7 linked regions of the Oryctolagus cuniculus genome follow. The protein of the gene in region 1 purifies or fractionates together with the protein of each later gene. This does not show direct contact. Links are inferred from orthologs where the notes say so. Each region holds a gene or a part of one and is shown in the gene's direction. Other genes may lie near its edges.

Evidence for each region.
Region 2: the proteins of SRC (region 1) and PDGFRB purify together in Homo sapiens (affinity purification with western blotting; 4 studies listed by BioGRID and IntAct, with this or other methods). This does not show direct contact. The link is inferred for Oryctolagus cuniculus from reciprocal best matches to the Homo sapiens genes SRC and PDGFRB.
Region 3: the proteins of SRC (region 1) and PECAM1 purify together in Homo sapiens (affinity purification with western blotting; 3 studies listed by BioGRID and IntAct, with this or other methods). This does not show direct contact. The link is inferred for Oryctolagus cuniculus from reciprocal best matches to the Homo sapiens genes SRC and PECAM1.
Region 4: the proteins of SRC (region 1) and ARRB1 purify together in Homo sapiens (affinity purification with western blotting; 3 studies listed by BioGRID and IntAct, with this or other methods). This does not show direct contact. The link is inferred for Oryctolagus cuniculus from reciprocal best matches to the Homo sapiens genes SRC and ARRB1.
Region 5: the proteins of SRC (region 1) and CDCP1 purify together in Homo sapiens (co-immunoprecipitation; 4 studies listed by BioGRID and IntAct, with this or other methods). This does not show direct contact. The link is inferred for Oryctolagus cuniculus from reciprocal best matches to the Homo sapiens genes SRC and CDCP1.
Region 6: the proteins of SRC (region 1) and ARRB2 purify together in Homo sapiens (affinity purification with western blotting; 4 studies listed by BioGRID and IntAct, with this or other methods). This does not show direct contact. The link is inferred for Oryctolagus cuniculus from reciprocal best matches to the Homo sapiens genes SRC and ARRB2.
Region 7: the proteins of SRC (region 1) and KDR purify together in Homo sapiens (co-immunoprecipitation; 5 studies listed by BioGRID and IntAct, with this or other methods). This does not show direct contact. The link is inferred for Oryctolagus cuniculus from reciprocal best matches to the Homo sapiens genes SRC and KDR.

The regions. Positions count from the first base shown.
Region 1 is NC_091442.1:21,177,284-21,180,959, reverse strand, and holds part of SRC (proto-oncogene tyrosine-protein kinase Src), read left to right. Parts: intron 1-1,469; coding exon 1,470-1,502; intron 1,503-2,204; coding exon 2,205-2,303; intron 2,304-2,416; coding exon 2,417-2,520; intron 2,521-3,676. UniProt on the Homo sapiens protein: Non-receptor protein tyrosine kinase which is activated following engagement of many different classes of cellular receptors including immune response receptors, integrins and other adhesion receptors, receptor protein tyrosine kinases, G protein-coupled receptors as well as cytokine receptors.
Region 2 is NC_091437.1:37,460,109-37,464,434, reverse strand, and holds the start of PDGFRB (platelet-derived growth factor receptor beta), read left to right. Parts: upstream 1-1,525; 5' UTR 1,526-1,970; intron 1,971-4,326. UniProt on the Homo sapiens protein: Tyrosine-protein kinase that acts as a cell-surface receptor for homodimeric PDGFB and PDGFD and for heterodimers formed by PDGFA and PDGFB, and plays an essential role in the regulation of embryonic development, cell proliferation, survival, differentiation, chemotaxis and migration.
Region 3 is NC_091448.1:14,342,231-14,345,906, forward strand, and holds part of PECAM1 (platelet endothelial cell adhesion molecule), read left to right. Parts: intron 1-720; coding exon 721-794; intron 795-2,933; coding exon 2,934-2,987; intron 2,988-3,676. UniProt on the Homo sapiens protein: Cell adhesion molecule which is required for leukocyte transendothelial migration (TEM) under most inflammatory conditions.
Region 4 is NC_091432.1:66,407,617-66,411,292, reverse strand, and holds part of ARRB1 (beta-arrestin-1), read left to right. Parts: coding exon of another isoform or gene 1-12; exon of another isoform or gene 13-949; intron 950-970; coding exon 971-1,082; 3' UTR 1,083-3,676. UniProt on the Homo sapiens protein: Functions in regulating agonist-mediated G-protein coupled receptor (GPCR) signaling by mediating both receptor desensitization and resensitization processes.
Region 5 is NC_091441.1:102,844,824-102,848,499, reverse strand, and holds part of CDCP1 (CUB domain-containing protein 1), read left to right. Parts: intron 1-2,053; coding exon 2,054-2,141; intron 2,142-2,499; coding exon 2,500-2,559; intron 2,560-3,390; exon of another isoform or gene 3,391-3,676. UniProt on the Homo sapiens protein: May be involved in cell adhesion and cell matrix association. May play a role in the regulation of anchorage versus migration or proliferation versus differentiation via its phosphorylation.
Region 6 is NC_091448.1:51,504,537-51,508,953, reverse strand, and holds the start of ARRB2 (beta-arrestin-2), read left to right. Parts: upstream 1-1,489; 5' UTR 1,490-1,623; coding exon 1,624-1,646; intron 1,647-4,417. UniProt on the Homo sapiens protein: Functions in regulating agonist-mediated G-protein coupled receptor (GPCR) signaling by mediating both receptor desensitization and resensitization processes.
Region 7 is NC_091439.1:109,289,112-109,292,787, forward strand, and holds part of KDR (vascular endothelial growth factor receptor 2 precursor), read left to right. Parts: intron 1-121; coding exon 122-236; intron 237-333; coding exon 334-497; intron 498-1,938; coding exon 1,939-2,095; intron 2,096-3,070; coding exon 3,071-3,194; intron 3,195-3,676. UniProt on the Homo sapiens protein: Tyrosine-protein kinase that acts as a cell-surface receptor for VEGFA, VEGFC and VEGFD. Plays an essential role in the regulation of angiogenesis, vascular development, vascular permeability, and embryonic hematopoiesis.

The DNA.
Region 1 (3,676 bases):
CTTTGCCCCTTCCTCTGGGGCCCTCTCCTCCCCCAAAGACTCTCTCCAGAGCTTCACACCCAGCTGAGTGTGCAAGCAGCTGTCACACAGCTATGCAAGGCTGCCCAGCCCCAGCCAGGCCAGGCCCCTACACCCTGCTCCACACACGGGGCTTCCCGGGGCCTGGGGTGCTCACTGCCCCTTCATGAGTCCTCAGAGAGTCCTCCAGCCTGGTACTGTCTTTCTAAAAAATTTTATCATTTTTATTTGTTTGAAAGGTAGAGACAGAAATCCTCCATCTGCTAGTTCACTCCCCAAATGCCCACAACAGCTAGAACTGGGCTGAGCCGAAGCCAGGGGCTGGGAGCTCCATCCGGGTCTCGCCTGTGGGTAGCGGGGGGCCGGGAGCTCCATCCGGGTCTCGCCTGTGGGTAGCGGGGGTGCCGGGAGCTCCATCCGGGTCTCGCCTGTGGGTAGCGGGGGGCCGGGAGCTCCATCCGGGTCTCGCCTGTGGGTAGCGGGGGGGCCGGGAGCTCCATCCGGGTCTCGCCCGTGGGTAGCGGGGGGCCGGGAGCTCCATCCGGGTCTCGCCCGTGGGTAGCGGGGGGCCGGGAGCTCCATCCGGGTCTCGCCTGTGGGTAGCGGGGGGCCGGGAGCTCCATCCGGGTCTCGCCTGTGGGTAGCGGGGAGCTGGGAGCTCCATCTGGGTCTCGCCTGTGGGTAGCAGGGGCCCGGCCACCTGAGCCATCAGCTGCTGCCACCCACAATGGTGCATTATCAGGAAGCAGGACTCGGAAGTGGAGCTGGGACTTGAACCTGGGCACTTTGATACGAGATGTGGACATCCCAAAGTGGTATCTTTACTAGTGCATCAAATGCCCTATCCCTCCCCCACTGCATTGGCCGCAACTTCTGCATCTTTAACACGGGCCGAAGAGTATGGCCAGGGGCAGCTCAGAGAAGCTGGGAGTAAGGGTCCTGGTTCGAGTGGAGACCGTGTGACTGCAGGCGAGGGGCCTCTGTATTTCTGTGTGGCGGTGGCGGTGGGCGCATCCTGCCGGCGTCATTCAGGGCCAAGGTGACGTCCAAGACAGCCTTGTACTGACGAGAGCTCAGCAGACTGTCAGGTCCTTCCTCACCCAGTAGGGAGGGGTCCTCCTCCTTTGGGGCTGGCTGTGTGACCTTGAGCAGAGTGCTTTGCTTCCCTGGCCTCAGTCTTCCCATCTGTACAGTGGGAATAGGATGGGGGCTGAACCCTAGTCCCCGGGCTGCCCTGCCCATCGACCTCCCAGCCCCGCCCTGTGGGTTGCTTTGGATGCGAGGCCTCTGTGGCTGCCCCGTCTCTGTCCCCAGCCCCGCCTGGCTCTTCTGCCCCCTCCCTCGCTCTCTCTGCCACTCGTTGCCGCTCACCACCCCCATCTCTGCCTCTTCTCTCCCGTCGGGCTCTCGCTTTCTCCTCCCTCCTCTGTGTCTCTGGACCCCCGCTCCAGCCAGACCTGGTTCACATTCAGATGGCTGCAAAGGTACTTCCGCCCCTACCCCCTCCCCAGGTCCCAGGGCTCCTCCTGCCCCTGTCCCCGTCCTCCTCTCCTCCTCTCCTCCTCTCCTCCTCTCCTCCTCTTCCTCCTCCTCCTGGGGCAGTTAGTACAGAAGGGGCCTGGGCAGTGGGCTGCGCCACCTCGACCCCTCTGACGAGATCGCTGTGTGACTTTGGGCAAGTCGCTGCCCCCTCTGGCCTCAGTTTCCCGTGGCAGATGGGTAGGCTGCAGGAGGGGCCTGTAGTTTGCGGCTGAGGACCCTGTAGGCGTGAGCCATGGTTTGTGACAGGCAAGCACTGCTCTGCTCTGCAGGCTGGGGCCTGGGTTGCCCCTAAGGGTGCCCCTTGGCCTCCACCCAGGTCTCCCCAGCTCCTGGCGTCTGGCTTCTGAACCTCAGGGCTGGGGGAGACTCGGAGGGTGGAACCTGACGTTCCTCTTGGGCGGGAGTCTTCTCTCCCATTCCAGTGTTGCCTGCCCCCGAGGACCAGGAGCGCCCTTCTGAAAGGCCTGGCCTCTGCTCCGTGCACGGAGACCCTGGCTGCCTTCTGGCCTGGGAGGGGGGCTGCAGGCCAGCTCCATGGGGCAATGCGAGAGCTCCCCTGGTCCCAGCCTCGCTCACTGCAGGAAGCCAGCGGCCCTGGGCTGGCTGCTGACGGCTCCCTTGGCTCCGTGCTCTCCCCTGTGCAGGGAGGGAGACTGGTGGCTGGCCCACTCGCTCAGCACGGGACAGACCGGCTACATCCCCAGCAACTACGTGGCGCCCTCCGACTCCATCCAGGCCGAGGAGTGAGTATCTTCCTGGGCGTCTGCTCACCACTGCTCCTGGACTGCTGGGCGAGGTTGAGGGGTCCAGGGCTGGCGGAAACTGGACTGCTCACCGCTCGTCCCTCCCTCCCCAGGTGGTACTTCGGCAAGATTACCAGGCGGGAGTCGGAGCGGTTACTGCTCAATGCAGAAAACCCAAGAGGGACCTTCCTGGTGCGCGAGAGTGAGACCACGAAAGGTAGCAGCATTCCTGCTGGCCAGCAGAGGCTGAGTCTTTTGTGGGTTCTTGGGGCTGGGTGTTGCAGAATGAATAGGAGTTTGGGGGTAGAGAAGGAAGAGGATGAAACGGCAGGACAGAAGTCAGGCAGGCGCGTGTCTAAGTCAGCGGTGGGAGACGGGGTGCAGCAAGAGGAGAGACGAGACTTCCGTGGCCTCAGTTTCATCAGATGAGGACGGGCCCAGGTTGTCATGAGGTCCAAGTGTCACAGCACAGGTTTGTTCCCAGAATGGGTGCGGATGCAGGGGGCCCTCTCTTCCCCTTCCCCAGGGGCCTCTGGGGCTGCAGTGAGTGCTGGGAGCCGGCCTCGGCCTTCCCTGGCCAGTCCTGGCCCCGCCCCTCCTTGGGAGGGGAGGAGGGAGGCAGAGCATCCAGGCCAGGTGTGTGCGTTTGAGCCCTCAGGCGGCTTTGTACACGTGGGCACCCCTGTGCAGGTGTGTGCCTATGTGTGTGTGTGTGCACATGTGGAGGTTGGGACTGTGGGTTCGTCCTCACGCTTGGGGGCCTGGGGAGTGTGTGGCTGCTGGGTGTGGGTGTGCCAGCAGGTGTGTGCACCTGTGTGTGTGTGCATGTGCGTGTGCACACACCTGTGGCGGTCACTGCCAGCTGCAGCCTCGGGCCTCTGCTCCTGCCTGCCCTTGGCCCAGGCCACCTGCAGAAAGTCACAAGACACTCAGGAGGCGGTTCAAGGCCCGGCTCGGTCCTGACTCACCGAGCGACCGGGGGTAGCCGCATGCTGTGTTGGCACCGCGGGTGTTACCTGCCTGAGTGCGTCCCTGGGAGTTCGGTGGCCGGGAACTGCCTGCCAGGCCCCAGAGAAGGCCTCTGCCCCCAGGACCCAGTGCTGCCCCCAACACCGGCCAGGCATCTCCTGGGCAAGGGTAGCATGGGCTGCCAGCCAGGCTGGGCACCAGGAGGGCCACCGTCTGGCCACACACAGCACGTGGTCTCCTGCCTGGGCCTGACCTGTCTGCAGAAGGGGCCGGGCGTGGACTGTGTCCCCAAGGGCAAACCTGGGAGCGAGGGGCGCATAACCGCGGGGGCCGTTCCCAGACTCCCAGAAAACCTTCATGGAGTGCCCGCTGTGCCAGGCCCTCTGCTCTGTGGTCTCCTTGAC
Region 2 (4,326 bases), on another chromosome or scaffold:
GACAGTCCTGATGGGGGCAAGACCAAGAGATGATTGCAAGGTGAATCGCTGTGCTCCAGCAAATGCTGGCTGCACAGAGGCCTGGGAGGGGAAGGGAGGCAGAGAGGCAGGGGCAGTATGGAGGACCCCCGTGTCCTGTGCGGCCCCAGTGCCTTTCTGCTCCTCCGGGACTCAGTTTCCCCAGATGCACAGCCATGGGAGCAGGGGTGCTCAGCTCTGCTCTCTAAGCCCCCTTAATTGAAGCAGTGTCTTATTGGCATCAGAGGGCTGGAGACTTCCAGTCCAAGGAAGAGCATCAGCCGGGGACCTGGGCCTTGGCAGACCCCTGTGGGGAAGGCGGGTGGGAGGAATGGAAGTGCCCCAGGGCAGGGGAGAAGGAGGGCAGGGGTGCCATCTGTGCTGGCGGGCGTGTCTCCTCTGGCATGCGTCTCCCGAAGTCAGGTTCTGCCAGCTCTGCCCCTGCCCTGTGGGCCCAGGAAGTGCAGCTCACTTCTCCGGGCCTCTGTTTCCTTGCCTGTGAAATGGGGACAAATCCTCTTCTTGTCCTCTAGGGGCTTTGAGCACCCAAAACATGTATCTTGAGATCTGAAGCGGTGTGCTGGGTGTCCTTGGGCAGATTGTATTTCCTCCCTGGCCGGTTCGCATCGAGCCTTGCATTTGCCCTCTGAGCATCTTGGGGTGTCCTTCCCTCCCTTCTGGGTCCCATCCTTGAGAGGCGCTCCCTGGTTCCCTCAAGCTTAGGTCACATGTCCCTCTCGGGGGTGGGGAGCCTTTTTTTCTGCCAAGGGTCATTTAGGTATTTATAGTATGATTCCCAGGCCATACAAAATGATCAGCTTAAAAATGAGCCTGCTATGGATTTATTGAATTTTAGGCCCTGCCTGTGGCTGCCTTGGTAGGGCCAGGCAGCCTGATTCCGTGCCTTGCCTGACATGGCCTTCAGGCTGGACGACCCCCACCCCTGAGTCCACTCTCCCCGCCTCTCCTCCTGCTCAGCCAGGGCCCCCGATCAGAGGCGGCTGCTATGCCACTGTCCCCAGCCCTGAGTACCCCAGCTGGCACACAGCAGTTGCTTAATATGCCTGCAGAAGAACTGACTGATGGCCCAACCGGCCCTATAGATGACCAGAGCTTTCTTGACAGCTGGGGAAACTGAGGCACAGGGTGATTTCTCCCTCTCCCCCAGGTGCCATGGCAAGAGGAGACTGCCACCAGCCACCAGATACAGGCGGCAGGCGAGTGAGGCCCGGCCACTCTTTAATAAAAGTGACTCAGCGGCTGGCGTGGGCTGCGGAATTTCTAAACATCCCCTCACATCCTGAGAGAGCAGGCGACGGGAGGGAGAAAGCAGAGGGAAAGGAGGAAGAAAAACAAGAAACGGGGAAAAGAAAGAGAGAGGGAAAAAACCTGAAATTGAAAACAGACGCACGCGCCCACCCTCCCGCCCGCCCGCACCCCCCTTCCCCCGGCTGGGCCAATCAGAAGCCGCCCTGCAGCCTTTCCCCCAGAGTGGGGGGGCAGGGAAGCCCACAGTGGTGCGAGCTCCTGGGGCCGCCTGGGCCGGCAGTCCCCGCCCGCCCTCTCTGGGACCCGGGACAGTTCTGCGAGCCAGAGAGGAGATCAACAGGGAGGAGACGGCTGAGCCCCTGAGCCCTGCCTGGCCGGTGCCCTGCCCGCTCAGCCAGCCAGACCCAGGGCGGCCCCTCCTGGCGGCCCTGCTCCTCCCCAAGGATGCTTGGGGCGTGAGGCGAAACTGGGCCGCTCCTCCCCTGCAGCCCCCGGACCCTCCGTTCTCCTGAGTCTCCAGGAGTCTGCCACGGCCCTTCTTGCCTTTCTACCCCTGCTGCTGCCCCTTGTGGGTCCAGCGAAGTCTTTGTGATAACGGGGAGAGGGCAAGAAGGAGGACTTCCTGGAGGGGGTGACAGTCCAGAGCCCGGGACAGTACTCACACCAGAACACTCAGCAGCAAGGTAAGAACTGGGAGAGGTGGGAACCCCAGTCCCAGTGCCCTGTCCCCTTACCCCAGCCTGTGCCTCTTTGGGTAGGTAAAAAAAAAAATAAAAAATGCGAAATATTTTTAACAAAACCAGATGGGAAGAGGCTGGGCGGCTCTGGGTGATGTCAGGACTGGAGGAGCCAGTTCTCTCCATTCTCCTGCTCTGGGATGGGTGGCCTCTGCCATTGCCCCCTACCCCCATGAGCCCTGCTGCCTCCTGCCCTCATCAAACACCCCCAGAAGTTTCTGGGGGCCATGTGGGGGCCATGTGGGGACCACCGAGGCACAGTACGGGCTGCGGGGCTGGGGATAGCTGGCAGGAGCAGGAGTGAGGGGAACTGGGGGATGGCATGCAGGGGGCAGAGAAAGGGGGCCTCGCGGGGCACTGGGGACCTCAGGGCCACAGCCCCTGCCCCTCGGCCCAGCTCTGCTTCTAAGAATCGGCTCTGGCCCTGGGCCAGCCTGCCACTAGGCAACCTCTGGGGATTTAAATGGATTTGCAAATTTTCCAGATTCCTGAGATGTCCTTCCAAACCCCCAGCCGCTGGGAAAGTTTTGAGGGTGAGGGAGGCCCCCGTGGCCGCTGGGGCTGGGGAACTGAGGCCCGGCTGTCAGATCTGGGGGCTCCTTTGCAGGCGCAGGCGTAGGCGGCAGCTCTCAGGACCCCTCTTCGCCTCCCTCCAGCTGGACTGTGCCCCTCTCCTCTCCATCCTGGAACCGGAGGCTGCCGGTGGCTCCCCAGTGCCCGCAGGAGCCCCAGCTGCACCGATTGGCGTTTGCTGCATGCCAGGGCTGTGCTTTGTGAGCGGGCTCTGCTGCAGTGCTCACCAGAGGCACTGGGCGGCTATTTTCCCCTGCTTTCCACGGTGGGGGGTGCAGTGAGGCGAGTTGGGGGCAGGTCTTGGAGAGGTTGTAAGCGCCCCTGCCTCATTGCTGCAGACTCGGGCCTTTTGTTCCTGCCAGGCAGATCCTAGAATCCGAGAAGGAATTTGTACCAGCCTGCCTGTGGGCATTTGCCCTCGCGTCCTCTGCCTGGAATGCCCTTCCTCATCACTTTTCTTCCAGGGATCCTCCCTGCTCTGTCTCTTCCAGGCAGCCCTCCTGGCTCCTTCCAGTCTTGCAAGTGCTTGCCATGCACTTCGTGTGGCAGCCTTGCTGCTCGGCCCCCTCCTCTTGCTTGTGTGCCACTTACGCATCAGAGCCTGTCCAGGCCCCAGGCTTCCCTGTCTTGCCTTCTGTCCCCTGCGCCAGCCCTGGGCACCGAGGGATGGCTCTGCTTGCCTCTGTCGTCCCCAGAGCACACAAAGGCCTTCATCAAGCTGCTTCACAGTCATCGAGTCCTCCTGTGTCTCACCCATTCGGGGACATCCAGTCCCAGGCAGGCAGGCACACTCTGCAATCTTCTTAGCGAGGCTTTGAAATCCCTGTTGTTACTCCACTGTGCAGATGAGGAAACCAAGCCTGGGAGAGGCAGAGTGGCTTTCCCAGGGCTACGCAAGTCAGTCTGGTTGGTGCTGGGACCAGAGTCTGTCTTAAGCCAAAGGCTTAACCCTCCTGCTGCCAGAGCGCTCCTGGCCAGGGAGCAGTGGCGTGCGTGCGGAGCCTGCCCCTGGCGGGATGGAGGGAGTGCAGCTGTCTTCTGCAGGGCCCTAGCTTGGTCTGCAGAGAGGAAGGAGCCTGTGTGGCCAGCACCCTGCTCTCCTGCTCTTAGACAGAAGTTACCGGGCAGCCCTCCCTCCTCTGTGGGGAGAAGAGCTGGGACTTGTAACTGGCGCCAGATGTGAGGCAGGTGGTGGAAAGCACCGTGCATTCACAGTCAGCAGACAGAGCACTGGCCCTGGCTCATTCAAATCCGTGTGGGGCCAACCTCAGAGCTCCTGTCCCCTCCCCAGGCTGCTTCTACATCTGGGAGGCAGTGGGCACCGTGGATAAACAAAGCCAGGCTCGGGCATCAGATGACCAGTTAGTGACCAGCCCTCTGTCCCTTCAGCTTCTGGCTGTGTGACTCTGCGCCAGGGCTTTGCTTCTCTGGGCCTCAGTCTCCTCTGTGAGCAGTAGGGCAGTTTGTGGGAGCCGTGAGATGACCTAAGGCGCTGAATGAGGTCCCTGTATTTCCTGGGGGCAGCCCTGAGGCCACTGGCCGAGCGGGGTGATGGAGCCGGGGGCCTGCACCTGGGTATCTCTGATTCTAGAGCTGAGTGGGGTCGGGACAGCCCTGGGGACCCAGCATCAGCTGTGGAGGCCACGCAGCTTTCCAGAGGTGGTCAGCAGCCCATCAACCCCTGTGACCGTGGGCCAGTCCATCCCTCTCTGGGTCTTGGTTTTCCTAT
Region 3 (3,676 bases), on another chromosome or scaffold:
GTGTGTGGGGGAGTAGTGTGAATGTGTGTGAGTGTGAATGCATGTGAGTGTGTGAGTGTGAATGCATGTGAGTGTGTGGGAGTAGTGTGAGTGTGTGAGTGTGTGTGAATGTGAATGCGTGTGAGAGTGTGTGTGAGTGTGTTTGTGTGAGTGTGAATGCATGTGAGAGTGTGTGGGAGTAGTGTTAGTGTGAGTGTGTGTGAGAGTGTGAGAGTGTGTGAGTGTGTGTATGTGTCCCAGTGGAAGATCCCTGACTTCATGGGAAGGAATGCCTTTGTTCTCAGATCATGCTCTTCCAACACTATTACTTGTGAGATGCCTTTTTTCCTTAGGAAATTATAAGGATAGCAGATGGAAATTTAAAAATGTGCTTACTTGGCACCATAGAGTTGGCCTATATGAAATGGTTACACTCTCTTATTGATAAAAATCTAAAATTCAAAAGTATGGAGATGGTTGCTCTGTTCTTGTGGGAAGCAGTAACAGTTTGAGGGTTTGGGGTGGGGCGGGGCCTGGGGAAGGATTCCGGGTATTTGTAAAAAGAATAAATAAAGATGTTAGTTTTCCAAGTGAGATAGTAAAGTGTCTCTCACTGTGGAAAACTCTTCCTAATTTACCCTTGGTCTTCACTTGGGTATTTTGTCGGTTTGGGGTTAGATCCAAATCTATGTATTTTACGTATCTATGACATCTGTTTTCCTTTCTAACCTTCATCTTAAGGCCAGCAGCACCACTTCTGAACTCCAACAGCGAGACCGTGTCAGATCCCAACATTGAAGCCAACAGTCATTATGGTAACACCGTGGTTTCCTTCCTAGCTAAGGGTGTTTTCCAACTTGCCACACACTGCCTTTGCTTTAGAGGCAGAAGCTGTAGGGGTGGGGATAAAGTTGGGAGGGAAGCCCCAGCTTCAAGGAGGTCTACTTGATCTTGTCAGTCATTGGATGGGGAGCTAATACAACAAACACTTGGCAGGAAAGGCAGAGAAATGTATTCTAATTTCCCACCTTCTAAGCCGCCTGTAGGATGAAGCATGGAGAATGACTGTGGGGTCTTCATTCCTTCAAAGCTTTTAACTATTGCTCAAGTGTAATCCATTTCCATTTGTAGAAGGAGATCAGACATCAGATTAAAGCATTGGCAAAACATCTTAGTTTAAAAGAGATTTATTTATTTGAAAGGCAAAGTGACACAGAGAGAGACAATGAGAGAGATCTTCCATCTGAGGTTCATTCCCCGAATGGCTGCAGCAGCCAAGTCTGAGCCAGTTGTCTGAAACTCCGTCTGGGTGTCCCACTTGGGCCGTCTTCTGCTGCCTTCCCAGTGCACTGGCGGATAGCTGCAGCTGAAGCAGAGCAGCCGGGACTTGAACCCGTGCTCTGATAAGGGATGCTGGCAGCTGAACCTACTGTACCACCACACCAGCCCCTGGCAAAATATCTTCACGGCTGGGCTTCCCACGAGCATAAGACGGGTTCCTCCGTATTTGCAGTTTCATATTCTGTGGTTTCAGATACCCATGGTCAACTAGAGTCCTAAAGTATTGAGTGGAAAGTTCCAGAAAACACATCATTCTTCATCCAGCATATCTCACTGTCCACTCTACGTGCCCATTAGTCACCTATTAGCTCTCTGGGTCATGGGGTTGACCGTCACAGACACTGCAAGACTCGTGTTCAACAGCCTTTCCTTTACTGAACACCAGCCCCAGAGTGGAAGCGTCGCGATCAGACGTGCCACAGAGATGCCGTAAAGCGCTCCCTCTGAGGGCAACGCGGAAAGCTTCCAACTTAGAGAGAGAAAAAGCAGTCGCGTGCTGAGGTTGCTAAGTGAGGGTGAGCCTTCTACCTGCGACGCCATGGTGAAGCAAAAGGAACTCTGGATTTGCTGTCACACCTCAGACTGCAAGTGTGGGACAAGCACTCAGTTAAGGTGGAAAAGGGTTTGGTGCCAGCTGTGTTGTCAGGCAGCACTGAGTATCTTGAGACACCCGCCATGGATAAGGGAGAGCTACTTCGATTCACCACCAAGGGCAACCAGTTAAAGATTGCACTTAGCACAGGCATCAGATGAGCTCTCCAGTGAAGAAATACCTGGTTACGAGGCTCACCACAGGTGGGGTTGTGCTCAGCAGGGTGGGCGGCCAGTCCAGGAGTTCCTGACCCCACCAGATGTAGGACCAAGGCCACATGACTAGCCTCTCAGAGGTGGCCTCACTACATCACACAAAAACACCAGTCCCAGCCCAGATTCGGGCTATTTTTCTTTCTTTAATATTTTAGTTCTGTTTATCTGAGACAGACACACAGAGATCTTCTATCCATTGATGCATTCCCTAAATGCTGCAACAGCCAGGGCTAGGTTGGGTCAAATCCAGGAACCAGGATCTCAATCCAGGTCTCCCATGTGGTTGGCAGGGACCCAGTTGCTTGAGCCATCACCACCGCCTCGCAGTCAGCAGCAGCAGGAAGCTGGGATGGGGAGCAGAGCTGGGATTGCAAGCAGGCACCCTGATGTGGATGCAGGCCTTTCAAAGCCCACGCCCCTTCCTTCCATGGCAGCTATCGTCAGGAAGGGCAGGGGCGGTCCCGGGGACTCAGAATCGCGTCCACAGTCGCTGAGTGCGCTGGCACAAGGCCGAGTGATTCCCTCATGATCGCACTGATGTGTGAGGCCTTCCTGGGCCAGTTCATGCATCTGCTCCTTCCTGGTTCCTAATGTCACCTTCAGCCAGGCAGGGATCGGCAGAGCCGCCTGGCACAGGCTCTTCCCAAGAGCACACGCCAGCCACCGTGGGGGAGGTCAGGCAGAGAAAAGGGCGAGGCCGGACGCGCGGCAGGAAGCCCCTGGGAAAGCCATGAATTCTTTACAATGTATAGAAGACTAGGATTTCCGCTGCCACTCAGCCTAATGCATTGTTCTCCTGCTACCAGGTTACAAGGATGATGTTGCAAACCATGCCATGAAGCCAGTAAACGAAAATAAAGGTAAATATCCAACAATGATTGTCTGAATTAGAAACTTTACATTAAAAAAGATCCCCGGAGAAAGAAAATGAAAACCTTGGCCAATGGGTTATTCCCTACCCTGTTAGTGATCCCGTAACCAAGTGCTATGTGAGATGGGGGTGGGTTGCTTTCTCCAAAGATGAGGTCTGGGGTCGTGCATGGGGAAGCAACCTAGATCCAAGGAGGAAAGAACCGAGTGACACCCAAGAAGCAGATTCTGGCTCCGGAGGCTGCTGAGTAGGCGCGCGTCCTGGGTGGTGGAGGTGGAGACTTGCAAGGAAGCGTTTGCTCCTACCCGGAGCTCAGAGGGCCGGCGCTGCACCGTTTCTCACCATCGCCTCCCGCCAGGGCTGTGAGCGGCAGCTCTCTGTAAAGCCTCCCCCCCCCCCCCCCGGGCAGGATGGGTTGTTTTAGCAGCCGGTCAGAACCCCTGCTCCTTCGGCATTCAGAACAAAGCAATCACGTTATCCCAAGATGAGACAGACACTTCCAAGATTCTGCCCAAGTCCCCCAAGCGCATGTGTGTGCTCTTGCTCTCTGGGCACCGTCAGGATGCAACCCCCATGCCCCACTTCCTGGCAGTCTTTCCGACATCCTCGGGTTGGCTTAGAAAGCACGCGAGGTGTCCAGCATTTTGAGTGAGACTCAATGGAGTTACCTGCTGTGGC
Region 4 (3,676 bases), on another chromosome or scaffold:
GCCTGCATGTGACTTGAAGGACCCTCGTGCCTGTTCCTCTTCCTCCTGCCTTGGTGGGGTTTGTCTTCCTTCCTTGTCCTTGCACGTCCGTCCACCCGTCCGTCCGTCCGTCCGTCCACAGCGCCTGCGCCTGCTCGTCTCACACAGGGCTGGCTCGGGGCCCCGCCCACACCCCACCCCACCAATGGAATCAGGCTGCGGGGCGGGCCAGGGTCTGGGACTGGAGGACTGACCCATGGGGTGTGCCATGTGGTCCCGGACAGCGAGAACCACCCCCAGGTGGTTTTCTCCCTCCAGCTCCTGTCCCCCAGGAGGATTCTGGCATGTGGGGTGTCCAGTCTCCCCACCGGGATGCCCCACATGTTGGCGGCAGGATGTGGGGCAGGGAGCTTTGGTGGCTCCCGTGGGGTCCCGAGTAGACAGATTTTAGGGTAGGAGAGAGCCTGCTTTCATAGATGTGGCCTTTAGCCCTGCAGCCCCAGTCAGGCCTCCCCCTCCCACGCCCCGCGCCAGCTCTGGATGGCTCAGGATGGACTGTGAGCCTGCCGCAAGCCCTTTGAGGCTGTCTCGTGCAGTAAGCCAAGCCCACTTCTTCCGGGCCAGAGCCAGGCATGCCTCCCCTGGCCGGGTTTTTGGTGGGTGGGGTTTCTTGGGTCTTGGTGGGGTTGAGAATAGGAGTGAAACTCCTGGGGCCTGGCCTCCGACCTGGAGATCCTTTCTTCTCTGGGCACTGAGGCACGTGGCCAGGCCCCCGAGAACTGGGTCGCTTTTCTGGCTCTTAGCTTCCTGCCCCCAGCCGCTCTAGTCCACGTGTGACCACCCCCACTGCCACCGGTGGGCATCCAGATGGGCCAGCCAGGCTGGCCTTCCTGCCCAGGGTCAGCCCCGGAGGCCAGAGGTTCCAGGGACCCAGAGCAGCTGGCTCTCACGCCCCTGCAAACACGCCGCATTTTTCCCGTCTCTCCCCCAGTGATGACGACATTGTGTTTGAGGACTTTGCCCGCCAGAGACTGAAGGGCATGAAGGACGACAAGGAGGAAGAGGATGACGTTACAGGCTCCCCGCGGCTCAACCACAGATAGGCTGGGGCCGGCCCTCCCGGGGCGGCTCCAGGTCTCAGGCACTAGGATGCTTCTTCGTCTACTTCCTGTTCTGGTGTCCCCACCCCAAGCCCCGCCCCCTTGTTCTTCCACTTTCTCCCTGGGGGGGCCCAGTGGTCTTCCTGGGCCTCAGAACCGGGCCTGCGTCACCATGCCGACAGGGCCTGCGTCACCACGCCGACCGGACCCGGTGCGCCCTTCACCTCCTCTGCCCACTCAGCTCTCCGCCTGGCCCGCTCCTCATCCCAGAAAGGCCGCCTCTGGCCTCGGGGTGGCCGGAGATGGGGGAGAGGAAGGGGGCGGCGGGGGCGGGCAGGAGGACACGGGGTGGGCTTGCGGGCCCCGGATGCGGGAGACCACGAGCACAGTCCCAGGTGGTTAGCGCAGTTCTGGCAGCGAGAGGACGGCCACCTTGAAGGCCACCCTCTCCTGGCTGCAAGGCCAGACCCCCCTGATGGATTGGCCATGCCTTTGTGCGGTTTGGAGCGCCAAAGACCTCCCCTGCTCTTCCCCCTGCCCCTTTGACTTTGGTGAAGGTTCCTAGGCCCCAGGAGTGGAGAAGAGCAACTGGTCTGACTTCGCTACCAGCAGCCTCTCTAGACCAAGGCAGGCCGTGTGAGCTAGCCGAGTGGACTGTAGCCTGGCGGGGGGCGTGGCGGCGTCGCTAGCCTGTATTTGATGTGGTGCACCTGTCTGTATTTGTGCATGGAAGGGGAGGGGCTCTTTCGCAGACACCCACCCCTGGCCAAGGAGGGAGGCTTTGGGAGGTGGGGATGGGAAGACTAAAGTCTGTCCTGTGCTCCTGCCTCTGAGGATTTAAGGCGATCACACAGGAGGCAAGGCTGGAGGTCCAGGGGCGGCTGGCCCCGACCCCGCCAGCCCGCTGCCGCCGATGCTGCCAGCGTGTTCTCCTGCTTCCCCCTGCAGACCTCCCGCCTGGGCTGGGCTGGCCCTGCAGCCCGGGTGCAAGTGCCTGAGGACACCCTGCCCGAGGACCAGGGGTTCCTTCCCAGAAGGTGGCAGTGCCCACCGAGAGGCACTCACCCAAAGAGGAGGCTGCTGGGGAGCAAGGAACCCCTTCTGTCCTTGGCGAGCGTGAGGGCCCAGCAGTTGCCACCTGCTGGCTGCTGCTCCCCACGTGGTGAGGGAGAAGAAGGTGTTCCAAGACATCTTTCTCATCTGGCATTCAATGCTAATGTGCTGTGTGACCCACGGCGAGTTCCTTCCCCTCTCTGGGCCTCAGTTCCTACCTGGAAAGCCAAGCAGTTGACCAGATGATCACAAGAGGGCCCTCCTGGCTGTGGGCAGCAGTCAGAGCCCCTGGCTGGGCCTCAGAGGTGGCCAGAGCCTCCAGAGCATGTGACCACTCCCCTGGCCTCTAGGCCTGGGAAGGCCATCAGGCCCATGGGGAGCGCACGCTGTGGGGTGGGGGGCTTCTCTGATGTCCAGTGAGGCCACAGCCTGCATCAGCTGCTCTGTCCTGGGGCCCGAGGGGCCTATGGAGGGGCGGGGCTTGTGTGTGCTGGGCTTGGGTGGCAGCTTGTGATAGGGCGTCCCCTGCAGATGTGGACACCCCGAGGCCCACCGCATGACTAGGTTGCCTAGCGGGACAAGGACGCCCCTCGGCATCTGCTCTCCTTCATCTCCATCCCCTCCTGGCGTGAGAAGGGAGACCACCGTGCTTCTCCGCAGGGTGGACCCTTACCCTTTAAGGGCCGGTGCCTCCGGAGCTGGGCTTTGCAACCACTGCTGTCCCGAAATGGCTCAGTTCCCAGGCTCGGCCTCTGCCCCTGCCGAATCTTGTGCATATTCAACCCGGGTCAGAACCAAGTCATCTTGGGACAGTGGCGCCCCTCCATGGCCAGTCCTGGGGCCCAGCCCCTACCAGAGCTTGCTGGGCAGTTTGCACCTCCTCTGGGCAGCTGTACGAGGGGTCTTCAAGAAGTTCATGGAAAATGTGTATTATGAAAAAAAAACTATGCATGGATCTCAATATTTTTTTTGCACCAATAAACTTAACCTTTGAATTCCATTTTCCCATCACTTGTTGAAGGACCCTCGTAGAGTTGATGGAATACATGCTGGATGGCACACGGCAAGCGTACTCTCCAGCGTCTTCCTCTGGGGCCAATGGCAAGGCCCTGTAGCATGTGGGGTGACCAGTCCCCTGCAGCCCTCATCCCCCATCCCTGATGTAGGTATACAGAAGCTTCATCAGGCTGGCCTCGAGCTTCTTCGTCATTGCCACCCCTTCTGGTTCATCCCAGCATTTCACTGAAATGTCTCCAGCTGCCAGCCACTCTCCGAGCCCTGTCTGTCCTTGGCCCTTTGAGCCTAGACTGCACAAGGTCAATGGCCAAGTTTAACTGGACTCAGCCTCACCATGTTCTTCCGAGGACGCCCCTGCCCTGTGCCCAGCGTCGAAGCTGCAGAGACAGGGCTGTCCTGGCCCCTGCCCTCAGGAAGCTCACAGCCCAGAACATTGCTGAGGGGATGTCCTGTCTCCTGGGCTCCCTGGCTGCTGCTGCTGGCCCCCACAGTGCCTTGATGTGAATTAGACAACCGGGCCCCTTCCT
Region 5 (3,676 bases), on another chromosome or scaffold:
TCAGTCTGTCCCCCATTCTTTCCTCTTAATAGCTCTCTGGCCTAGGGCAGGTCTCCTCCTTCCCCCACCATCTCCCTTATCTGTAGAGAGTACACGCTAGCAACCGCATCCTGAAAGGATCATGGGGGTTCAGTGTTGGGCGTGAACATGTGGGGACCAGGGGCGGGCCTCTCACCCAGCAGTTAAGATGTGGCCAGGAATGCCCACATCCACTGTCAGTGTGTCCTGGTTCAGGCCTCTGGCTCCTCTCCCAATTCCAGCTTCCTGCTAATGCAGACCCTGGGTGGTAGGGGATGGCTTAAGTAGTTGGGTCTCAGGCCGGTGCCATGGCTCACTTGGCTAATCCTCCACCTGCGGCACTGGCACCTCAGGTTCTAGTCCCAGTTGGGGCACTGGGTACGAGTCCTGGTTGCTCCTCTCCCAGTCCAGCTCTCTGCTGTGGCCCGGGAGAACAGTGGAGGATGGCCCAAGTGCTTGGGTCCCTGTACCTGCATGGGAGACTGGGAGGAAGTACCTGGCTCCTGGCTTCGGATCGGCATAGCACCGGCCATGGTGGCCATTAGGGGAGTGAACCAACTGAAGGAAGACTTTTTCTCTCTGTCTCTCACTGTCTATAACTCTCTGTCTCTCTCTCGCTCACTGTCTAACTCTGCCTGGCAAAAAATTAAAAAAAAAAAAAAGTAGTTGGGTCTCTGCCACCCATGTGGGAGACCTGGATGGAGTTCTGGGCTCCCCACTGCAGCCTGGCCATTGTGGGCATTTAGGGAGTGAACTAGTGGATGGAAGATCTCTCACGGTCTGACTCACTGTCCCTCTCTCTCTCTCACTCTCTCTCAATTGTAGTAATCAATTTAAAAATAAAAATAAGGCAAACGTGGGGAGGTGGAAAGTGGGGTGGGTTTTTAATCCACTCCCGTGAAACACTGGGATGGTGAAGTGCCCTCGGTGTCAGGCTGAGGAGCCAGGCTGGGAGCTGCCTGTCATTTGCCAAGTTACCAGATGCGAGGTGAGCTCTGGCCAAGAGATGCCCGAGAAGCTGCGCCCCCAGGGCCTTGTCTGCTCTTGGTTCGGTGATGGCTGCGGAGCACAGGGTGTTGGAGCCACAGGGGTGGAGGCTGTTTTCTCCCGGCCCCTTCCCCTTCCTATGGGCAGAGAAACTGAGTGTCCTGCTGGGCCCACACCCCAGCTAGCGGCAGAGGGGCCGAGAAGGGGCCAAAGCCACGGGTGGGAAGCTCCCCGCCTCCTCTCTCATATTCATTTCCTGCCGTTGCTTCCTCTTCCTGTTTCCTTGGAATCACACTTTGCGTTTTCTCAGTGCACAGCCAAGAAGTTCTGAATGCCTGTCTGGCGCGGGGTTCCCGCTCTGCTCTGTTTTCTGTTCCCTGTGTAGAGCTGTAGGAGGCTGGCACGAGCAAGACAGCGCTCGCCGCAACTGCTTTGCGTCTGCCTTTGGACGCCCAGCTTTCTGCTGCTCTCTCTGCTCTGTCCTTCCCCACAACAGGCTGGAGGGGCCAGGGACACCCCCATGCAGCCAGCAGTGGCCTTGGGAGCACGGCTGGTAGGTCCCCCAGTTTGTCTAAGTTTGCATGCAAACTACCCCGAAGATTTAGTGATTGAGACATTGTTTTGTTTTTGCTCAGTTTGTGGGTCAGGACTCGGGACAGGGCACAGCAGGGTGGTTCATCTGCACAGGGTGACCTGGGGCCCCAACCAGATGCCTTGAACCAGCTGGAGGAGGCTGGGATGGTAGAGGGGAGTCCTACGACAGGGACCTTGGTTCTCCCTTTAAGCTGGGCTGGGTTCTCTCCCCATGAAGCCGTCACGTGGCTAGCTTGGGCTTCCTCGCAGCATGGTGGCCTCAGCACAGACTTCTTACACCGAAGAAGGAAGTGCAGGCTGACATTCCTCTTAGAGCGTGGGCCCAGAACTGCCATGGCTGCTTTCTGGCGGCCAGCAGATTGCAAGGGAGGGGACTGGAGCTGCTGGGGGCTGTCTCTGGAGACGACTCCGGTTCACCGTCGGGCTGACCACCTGTCCTGTGTTCTGCTCATAGACCTCACGACCGTCATCAGCGCAGCGGTGGTAGGTGGCGCCTTCCTGCTGTTGGCCCTCGGACTCATCATCTGCTTTGTGAAAAGGAAGTAGGTGACACTCTCGGCCGGCTCTGGCTGGCGGGACGCCCCCTCTGGCCACACAGCCCCGGGGTATTGTGGGTCACTGTGAGATGACACTGCCAGTGTGAGCAGGGGAGGGGAAGAACACAGATGGTGACACCGTCACTCCGTGAGTCACACTTTCTGTAAGTTGACTCTCACGGGGGGGGGGGGGGTGGTGGCAGGGGAGGCTCAAGACAGCCACTCCTTCCGTTACTTTGAGGCAAGAACAGCATGACGCCAAGACTTGTTCTGCAGCTTCTGCCCTGTGCCTGTTCATTGAGCCCCAGGCCAGGTCTCCCCAAGCCACCACTCGATTTTCTAAATTCTCCTGTTTCTCATTAAGGTCATGGAGGAAGGGCGAAATCTGTGTTCCTTCATGTGATGGCTTGATCTACCAGAAAAGGCAATGAGGATTTTTTTTTTTTAATTAACCATGACTCTGAGCAGACAACTGAACTTCCTGGTGGGCAGTGAGGCATTCTAGAAACGTCTGGCCTGGCGGGGAGGGCCTAGCTCACAGCAGACCCAGGGAGGGTCTTCTTCCCCCTGCAGTGGTCGCTCACGTACCGCATGGGGAACGACCTCACAAGGTGAAGCATCATCTTGCCGCCTGGCCCAGGAAACATGCTGGTCTGGGGTGCATGGGACGCCCAGTGCAGTGGGGAGAGCATGGTGTGGACCCCAGGCTCCTACTTCCCCCACAGGAGGGCACTGGGCTAGGTGAGGGGCGAGTCCACCTGCTCCGCTCTGGGCTTGAGGATCCCCGACTCCACCTTGTGGTGGGCCTTGCCCTGGCTGGCAGGTTGGCTTTGGAAAGGCCCGTCCATGCCTAAGTTGGTGTAGAAGGATGGATGGGGGTCTGCAGTGAGAACAAGGGGACACGATGCCTTTGACACTGCACTTGTTCAATACGCAAGTGTCTCCTGGGCGCTGGGACCCATATGAGGTGCCGCAGATGACAGTGAGCAAGACACGGTCTCTTCTGCCACCCGTGGGGCAGAGGGACAGAGGGCAGGCAAATAAACAGGCAGTTTTGGGGCCAGGTGAGAAATACATTGGTGGGGACAGGCAAGGCACTGTGAGAGCACCAAGAGTGGACACCTGTTCCAAGGCTTCAGGCAGGAGCCTCTGGCACCCGTCATCCTTGCCGGCCAGGGACAAGGAGTTACAAGCTAAAGGTGCTAGGTTTATTTTATTTATTTAATTTTTTAAGTTGAATCTTGAGTGGTAATACCTTTCTTCTTTCTTTCTTTTTAAGAATTTTTTTTTTTATTTGAAAGGCAGAGGCGGGGGAGGGTCTTCCATCTGCCGGTTCACCCCCCAGAATGGCTGCAACAGCCAGAGCTGAACTGATCCAAAGCCAAGAGCTAGGAGCTTCTTCCAGGTCTCCCATGTGGATGTATGGGCCCAAGGACTTGGGCCATCTTCTACTGTTTTCCCAGGCCATAGCTGGGAGCTGCATCGGAAGTGGAACATCCGGGACTTGAACCGGCACCCATATGGGATGGCGGCTCCGCAGG
Region 6 (4,417 bases), on another chromosome or scaffold:
GCGCCGGTTCTGTCTCGGTTGCTCCTCTTCCAGTCCAGCTCTCTGCTGTGGCCAGGGAGGGCAGTGGAGGATGGCCCAAGTGTTTGGTCCTGCACCCCATGGGAGACCAGGAGAAGCACCTGTTTCCTGGCTTCAGATCAGCGCCGTGCGCCGGCCGCTGCTGCGGCCACTGTGGGGGTGAACCAATGGTAAAGCAAGACCTTTCTCTCTCTCTCTGTCTCTCTCTGTCTCTCTCTCTCTCTCACTGTCCACTCTGTCAAAAAAAAAAAAAAAAAATCCCTTAGAGTCCTAAGCCCAGAAATGTCAATCATCCATCATCCTCCCTGAGGTCCAATGTGACAGCCCCAGAAATGATCCTCCAGTCCGGCCCCTCTTCTCCCACCCGCTCTCAGCCATCTCCTACCCTCCGCAATGCCCAGGATTAATCTCCAAAAACAGAACTCTCATCGTGACACTCCACGGCTTTAAAAAACCGGCCCGGGTTCCACGTGTCCTCCTGCGGGGCGGGCCCGCCGCCCCAGTCTTCCCCTCTGCCTGCGGGACAGGATGTGCCCGCCTCGCCTCGCCTCGCCTCGCCTCGCCTCGCCTAGCTTTCCCTTCAGAACGCCCTTGCTCAACGTGTGCCCGTTCTTCGGAATTGGCGTCCTCACATTTCCCTTCCTCTGGGCAGCCTGCCGAGCGCAGTGAGCTGCTCTGTCTTCTGAGTCAGCCCTCTATTATAGCATTCCTGGACTCATGACACCTGTCCACGTGTTCCTCGACTGGACCAGAACGCCAGGGGCCGCGATCACTCATGCGTGTCTCCAGGGCTCTGCTCAGCGTCTGGCACAAAATGGGGCCGGGGTGTGGGGGCACGGATGGATGATGGATGGATGGATGATGGATGGATAGATGTTAGCGGGGACCGGCGGGTGGAGACGTTGACATTAGAAACCCTGCACAAATCCAAGACAGACACCAGGGGGAGCTGAGACACCGCAACAAAGCCGGAGGGCGGGCCTAAGGAAACCGCAAGCTCTGGGATGAGCCGAGGAGCGGCGCGCACCCTAGCAGGCATCATGCAACTGGAACGGCTCACCCACGTGTGCATCCCCTCACCCTCCAGCCCAGACTGTTTGAGTTCATTCCACCGCCCCCACCACCCCGGCAGCCCCCATCTCCACCGAGAAAGCAAACAAAGGGGAGGAGACCCCTACTGGGTTGTGGATGCCAGGAGCCAATCCGAGGGCTGCAATCTCCTGAAGGGCGGGCGCCTCGTTGGAGCGGCCCAATCCGCTTGCAGGGATCTGCGGAAGGGCGGGGAGATGGGCGGGAGAAGCGGGAGAAGGGACCGCGCGCACGGGGGGAAGGGCTCCCCTGGGGACTGGAGCGCAGAGGGTGGAGGCGGAGCCAATCACCGCGCGAGTCTGTGAGGAGAGGGCGGGAGCGCCCGGCGCGCGCGATCCGGCTGACGCATCTGGCCCCGGTTCCCCAGGCCCGGAGGAGGGGCCCGCAGGGGAGGGGGAAGAGGAGACAGAGCGGAGGACGCGCGTGCGCAGTGGCGCGGGGAGGAGCAGGACCTAGCAGCGGGCGAGAAGGCTTGCGAGCCAGCCCCGAACCGGGCGGGCGGCGGGCGCGCGCACCATGGGGGAGAAACCGGGGACCAGGTAAGGGAGGTGGGGCCGCGCGGCGGGATATGGGTGGCTGCGGCTCGGGGCTGGTGCCGAGATAGTCTCCAAACAAGGACACCGGGGAGGGAAAGCTGGGGGCTGGACGCCTGGGTCCCCAGGGGGCAGCCATCGGGGCCCCACGCTTAGGTCCTCGAGGGTACTGGGGTGAGTGGGGGCGCATGCACGGGCCCTTGCAGAGAGCAAGGCCTGAAGGGTACCAGAAACCGGCCTCGGGGGTCCTCGCAGGGATGTAGGGGTTCTCGCGTGCGGGCTGCGATGTAGGAGGAAGCAGGAGCAGGTGGCCGGTCCCAAAGGGTCGCGTCCCAGGAGGCTGGATGCTGGGAAGGGGATTCCCCCTCTAGACTCGTGCGGAGCCCGAGGGAAACCTGCCCAGTACCCTACAGCAGAAGGGCTGCCCCCACCTGTCCCAAGGACCGGGCGGCTCCGCTTCCAAACTTCTGCCTTCCCGTGGGTTGCCAGGAGCAACAGCTTCATCTTGAGGGAGCAGAGTGCGTGGCGACCCTCCCCGAGGCTGGGCGCCGCGTCCCTTCCCAGGGCGCGGGGGAGAAGGGTCTGCCCCGAGCCACGCATCCACTCCCCGGATGTTTTCTGTGCAATTGAGGCTCCTTCCTTCCACGGACACCCCGAGTTCTCTTTTTTGGTCTCTACCAAAATCCACTTCCTGTTGTGACCCAACACCCCCAAGGGGGCAGGGAGTGAATGCCGGGGCCCCAGGGGAGCAGGAGCAAAAGAAAAGGTTGGGGCTGTTTGTCTCAACCAGGAGGGGCTCATGAGTGGTCCTGAGCTGTCACTAGAACTGCAAAACAAGATCCCATCAACCCCACCCATTGAGTAGGAGAACCCAGGCTTCGGCTTCTGAGCGTAGAGTAGACCACTATCAGGGAGAGGTCAGCGCAGCAAGGGAAGATGGGTGTCCTGGATTAGGGGCTAAGCACCCTCAGAGAAGGGAGAAGTCACTGACTTGGAGGAGGCCCCCAGTTTCCGTTATGTGGTTTAGGGAGTGGGGGACGGATGGGCCAAAGGAGGGCTGCTGACTTGGCATAATTCCCTCCACCCCCATCAAATTCTGGGCCACAGGAAATGGAGAGAATAGCAGGAAGCGCGAAGGGGCATCTGCTTCACTGCCCCCCACCCTGACCGGGCACCTCCCTGCTCATCCCCACACTGTCTCCCTGGGCGGCCTGAGCACGCACACGCTGCTCCTCCCTGCCCTGGCAGGAGGGGGCCAGGTTAGGATCCAAAGGGCAGGTGCTCCAGGGTAATTGCCCCAGAGCCACACTCCTCTTGGCCAACTGATTAGCGCCCCTGCTGGGTAGAAACGCTGGGGCAAGGAGGGGACCCAGAAGCAAAGGGGAGGGAGAGCCTGGATGATGCCAGAGCAGTCAGCCCCCCCTCCCAACCCAGGATGGGCAGAAGGTAGGGTGCTCATGCTGGCTGCCCCCTCATTGACAGCTTAGTGACTGGGGAACTTCAGGGGCTGCTAAGCCCTTTGCCATATGACCTTTGGACAGCTTGCACTGGGGAGAAGGGGCAAGTGGAGTTCCTGGAGCAGACACCGGGGTGCTGGAGGGGAAGGAGGGAAGGGCCAGGCGGCAGCCCTTCAGTTTCTCCTCTCTGGGACCCTTTCCAGCGGGCACTGCCGAGCAGAATGGACTAGAAGGAGTTAGATGGTGCTTCCAAGGACAGGCCCACACGTGGCCAGAGCAGGGGTCGCCAGACACGTCCCTCCCCTTCCAGAGTCTGATGAGGCTTAGATAGTTTCAGCAGCTGGGAAGAAAAATGCCCTTCGGCTCAACAAACTGTCAGTGCTCACTACAGAGATAGACAGTGTAACCGTGTAGCTGTTGGGAGCTGAGACCCACAGCCAGCCTGCCTCAGTTTGTGTCGGACTTCTGTTTTACTCTGTGACCTTAGACGAAGTAGTTGACCGCTCCCTGCCTCAGTTTCCCCAACCCGTACAATAGGGCTCTTGGGGGCCCACCACTGGGCTGTTGAGTACTAACTGCGATCACGCACTTGGAACGGTGCCAAGCACGGCACAGTCACGCAGAAAACGTTAGCCACAATCACCCTCTGCAGCGTGCGGTGGCTGCCGCGCCGGGTGTGCCGAGGTGAACGAGGCCTCTGAGGCTTCGCAGGGCGAGGAGGGAGGCAGAGGAGGCACCGCTAACTGCTCTGGGTGCTATCACACCGCAAGCGAAACATAAACAAGATGTGACAGGAACCCTGAGACTGGAGGGTCTGGGGCCTGGACTGCGTCTGCTTGCCTTGAAAGACAAATAGGACCTGAAGCTGTTGAGGCCAGAGACAGGGCCGGTCGGTAGTTCAGGGAGCGGGGTCAGCCTTGGGTAGTGCCTCTGGTAGGAACTGTTTGGCGGGACAAAGGCCAAGGCCGAGCTCTCCGTGGAGCTGGAGACCAGATGGAAAGACAGTGAGGTCTTAGGGAACCACAACCTCCCCGTTCAGTGCCCCCCGCGGGAAGGCCCCTGGGGAAGAGCCTGGGTGGTTCCTGGAGCGGCCAGAAGCCATTCCCATGGTGGGAGGGGGGTTAGCGAGGGTGGACCTAGGACAAGAGAAGGGGCGTTTGCCCTAGCAACCGGCTTCAAGGGGCTGCCGGGTGTATAAAAGACTGCCAGGGAGGAAGTGGGAGGGGGCAGCGCAGGGCACAGCCCCTGCGAGTCCAGGGCGCGCTCTGCTTCTCGGGCTCGGCAGGGACGGTCCTGGTCTGGGGTCCCTGCTGAGTCTGA
Region 7 (3,676 bases), on another chromosome or scaffold:
ACAGGGCCTCTGGCTTTTCCCATGAAATAAGAAAGAATAACAATAACAACGATAACCAAGCCCAACAGCCACTCTCCGAAAGTTGACACCTATGAGAATAACGACTTTTGTTTTCTTCCAGAGAAGCCTTTTGTTGCTTTTGGGAGTGGCATGGAGTCCTTGGTGGAGGCCGCGGTGGGAGCGCGCATCCGAGTCCCCGTGAGGTGGCTGGGCTACCCACCGCCTGAAATCAAATGGTAACTACTGGGATGAAATAAAGAGTGTTGTTTCACAAGAAGGCAGATGCTTCCATGACACTCATTCCCGGGTTTTTTTGCTTTTTTGGAATCATAGGTATAAAAATGGAAGACTCCTGGAGTCCAATCACACGATTAAAGTGGGGCACGTACTGACCATCTCGGAGGCGAGTGAGAAAGACACGGGAAACTACACCGTCATCCTCACCAACCCCATCACCAGGGAGAAGCAGAGCCACGTGGTGTCTCTGGTTGTGAATGGTGAGTCTGCTCTGTTCTCCCAGACTGACTTGAGGGGCGTGGTTTTGTCTTCCTGTGCCACTAAGCCACCAAGGCTTTGTGTCCTGCTCCGTCACCCATATCATGACAGAGCTCGTGTACAAAACTGGCTGGGGCAGCAGACTTGCAATGAGATGTGGGACTGTGTGCTACCCTGCAGCCGTGTTTTGGCTCAAGAGGCCCTGTCCGTGAGCTGTTTGGTGGCCAAATGCAAGATTAAAGCAGATGGTTGGCTCGGTGGCCAAGAACGCCCCCAGGGACAGTGGTCAGCCTGGGCCGCGGGACCCGCGCTCCCGTCTCGTGGAGCTGCGCGCCTGGTGCACAGATGTCCGAGGCTCTTCTTGAAGTTCAAGGCTGCACTTGGCGTTTCAGGGGGGGCATGGGCAGGTCCCAGCTCAGAGGGCGTTGGCTTGGTTGGAACTTTTACTGTTCTGGACGGGAGTACAGCATCTGACTCTGAGCTGGAGGGACGACAGTAAGTTTTTAATTTCAGGACGACTTGTTGTCCCACACTCAAAGGGCTAACGAAATGTTTGGGATGGGGAAGGAAGGGTCCAATGGTCACACTCGTGGGGAAGCTGCCCTGATGGTGTGAAATACTTTTTGTAATTGCAGAACTTCTTGGGGTCTTCAAAATGCTCATGTGTGTGCCGTTCTCATGGCACTGAGCGTGGCGTCCCTCCTTTTTGCAGGGATGGGTTTAAAGATCGCGTGTTCTGAACAGGTGCTCGTGTGCAGTGAGGGCGCGGGGCTTGGAGAAGAGGCAGTGGCCGGAAAGCTGAGGCAGCATACAAGAAATAAAGACGGAGGCACGGGCAGGGAATCGCCCCCATTTCATCCATTCATGAAGTCAGCGCACATCTGATTCACTTAGCATTTGCCCTGCTGCATGGGAGAAGGGGGGTAATGGAAGTACCACCTGAGCCTTCTGGTCGACCAGAAGGACATAGTGCGATGCTGGCACTGCAGGCGGTGGCTTTACCTGCTACACCACAGCGCCGGCCCCTGTCTGCTTCTTAGGATGGGTATCACGGGACCTCAGCTGTCCTGTCCCAGCTGTCCTTTGAAGTCCAAAGTGGGCCCAGAAGCATAGATGGCGTTAAGCGGCAGAGCGCCCCAGGCCTGGAGGGGTGACTGTAGCTCACGGCACCTCAGTGTGCAGTGCCGGCAGCCCTGGAAGAGGGCAGGCTGCACACAGGGAGAAATGAAAAGGAAACGGAAGTGCCAAGTGCCTGGAGGCGATCAGCTTGCAGTGTAGGCACGTCTTACATAGCACACTGTTCCTGTAGTGCAGGCTAATCGCAGCGTAAAAACGTTAAACACAAAACAAAACAATGCAAAGCTCTCCTTTGGTCGGGAACGCCTCTCCTGTGCGACCCCCTGAGCTGACTGACAGTTCACGGATTCACTGTCCCGCCTCCAGTGCCGCCGCAGATTGGGGAGAAGTCTCTGATCTCGCCCGTGGACTCCTACCAGTATGGCAGCTCGCAGACGCTGACCTGCACCGTGTACGCCGTGCCTCCCCCGCACCACATCCGCTGGTATTGGCAGCTGGAGGAGGAGTGCTCGGAGCAGGCCAGGTGAGTGGGCCTGGGGCCGTGCAGCTCCTTGTCACCGCCTTCTAAACCAAGACAGCGACCCCTGTGTGTGTAGGGGGGCGAGGTCTCCTCCCGCTTCCTGGGGTTTTGTGTCAGAGCTGTCTTGGCTTGCTCGGGGGTCCCACTCTGGGACAAGCTGGCTGTCTCTTCTTGGGGCGGCCTGGGGCACACTTCTCCAATAGCAGGTGCTTCGCTCAATTGGATGATTTTCCATCTTGGCTTTCTCTCCGCCCAATCGGGGGCCAGTGCGCTGTTGCCTTCCGGTGGGTGCAGCCTCGGGCCTGGTTTATCAAGTTCTCACACAAGTGCGGACATCCTCAGGGGACAGGACAGGACAACAAGCAGCCCATCAGCCCCTCGCGGCTACTTCCTGTTGTTGTTTTCGCCATGGCCACGAGGAGCTTCTTCCACAGCCGCTGGCCGGGGAATGAGTTTCACAAATCCAGTGGCTTCGCAGTTTCCCTGCCTTCCTTTGAACTGAACCAACGTGAATGTCTGTCGTCACGTTTATGAATGGAGGCTGTTCCCAAAATAGCTGCTTCCCTCCTGTATCCTGAGTGGGTCCGCCTCGAACCGTCCCCCCTCTGTCCAGGCCTATTTTTAATTGGCGCCACATCTCGCAGTGTGGCTGCCCTGACAGCTGTTTCTAGGAACACAGGGCCCCGGGTCGGAGTCCTCTCCTTGCTATTGATCTGGGGACCGAATCCTACCACATACGTGACGACGGACCGTTCTTTTTCTACGTTTCGATCAGTCCTACGGCCCCTCACTTTACAATATTAATTCCTCTGTTTTCAAGAGAAAGGTAGCCTATAGGTGTAAGTATATAATGTCTACCCAGGAAGGGAGTGTGGTGAAACGTTAACAACATTGTTAAATATTACAGCTAAAAAATAATAGACTTCTATGAAAAGGGAAAGCCAAAATCCTAAGTGATCTGTTCGCTCTTTCTTACAGCCAGTCGGCCTTAATGACAAACCCATACACTTGCAAAGAATGGAGAAACGTGGAGGATTTCCAGGGAGGCAATAGAATTGAAGGCAGCAAAAATCAGTTTGCCCTGATTGAAGGCAAAAACAAAGTAAGCTTGAAGTCCTTTAATTCAAATCTCTCTCTCTCTCTCTCTCTCTCTCTCTCTCTCTCTCATGGGAGAATAGTGCAGTGATAGAAGGGGTCTTCCAAAAGTTCATGGAAATGAGTATTACAAAAAAAAACCGCTATGCATGGATTTCAAAAACTTGTGCACCAAAATAAATTGATCTTTTAATTCCATTTTCCGTGAGCTTTTTGAAGTCCCCTTGTACGGGTGGCGTACTGGGAACATGACTGTATGATACGATGCTAGTATGCTAGTGTATGAAGGAGGCTAGGAAACACCACCGACTTCTAGCAGAGCCTCTCACTTCCGAATAGCTCGTTGGAGAAAAGCGAAACGCTCGCCCCATTTCATGCGTCCGTCTGTTAGAAGGTGATCCTGATTTTGCGAGCCCGAGAAGGGGAAGGTGTTGTATTAAAATACTTCGTCAAGTGTGTGGTGTCCAGAGCCCTTTCTGTGTAACGTGT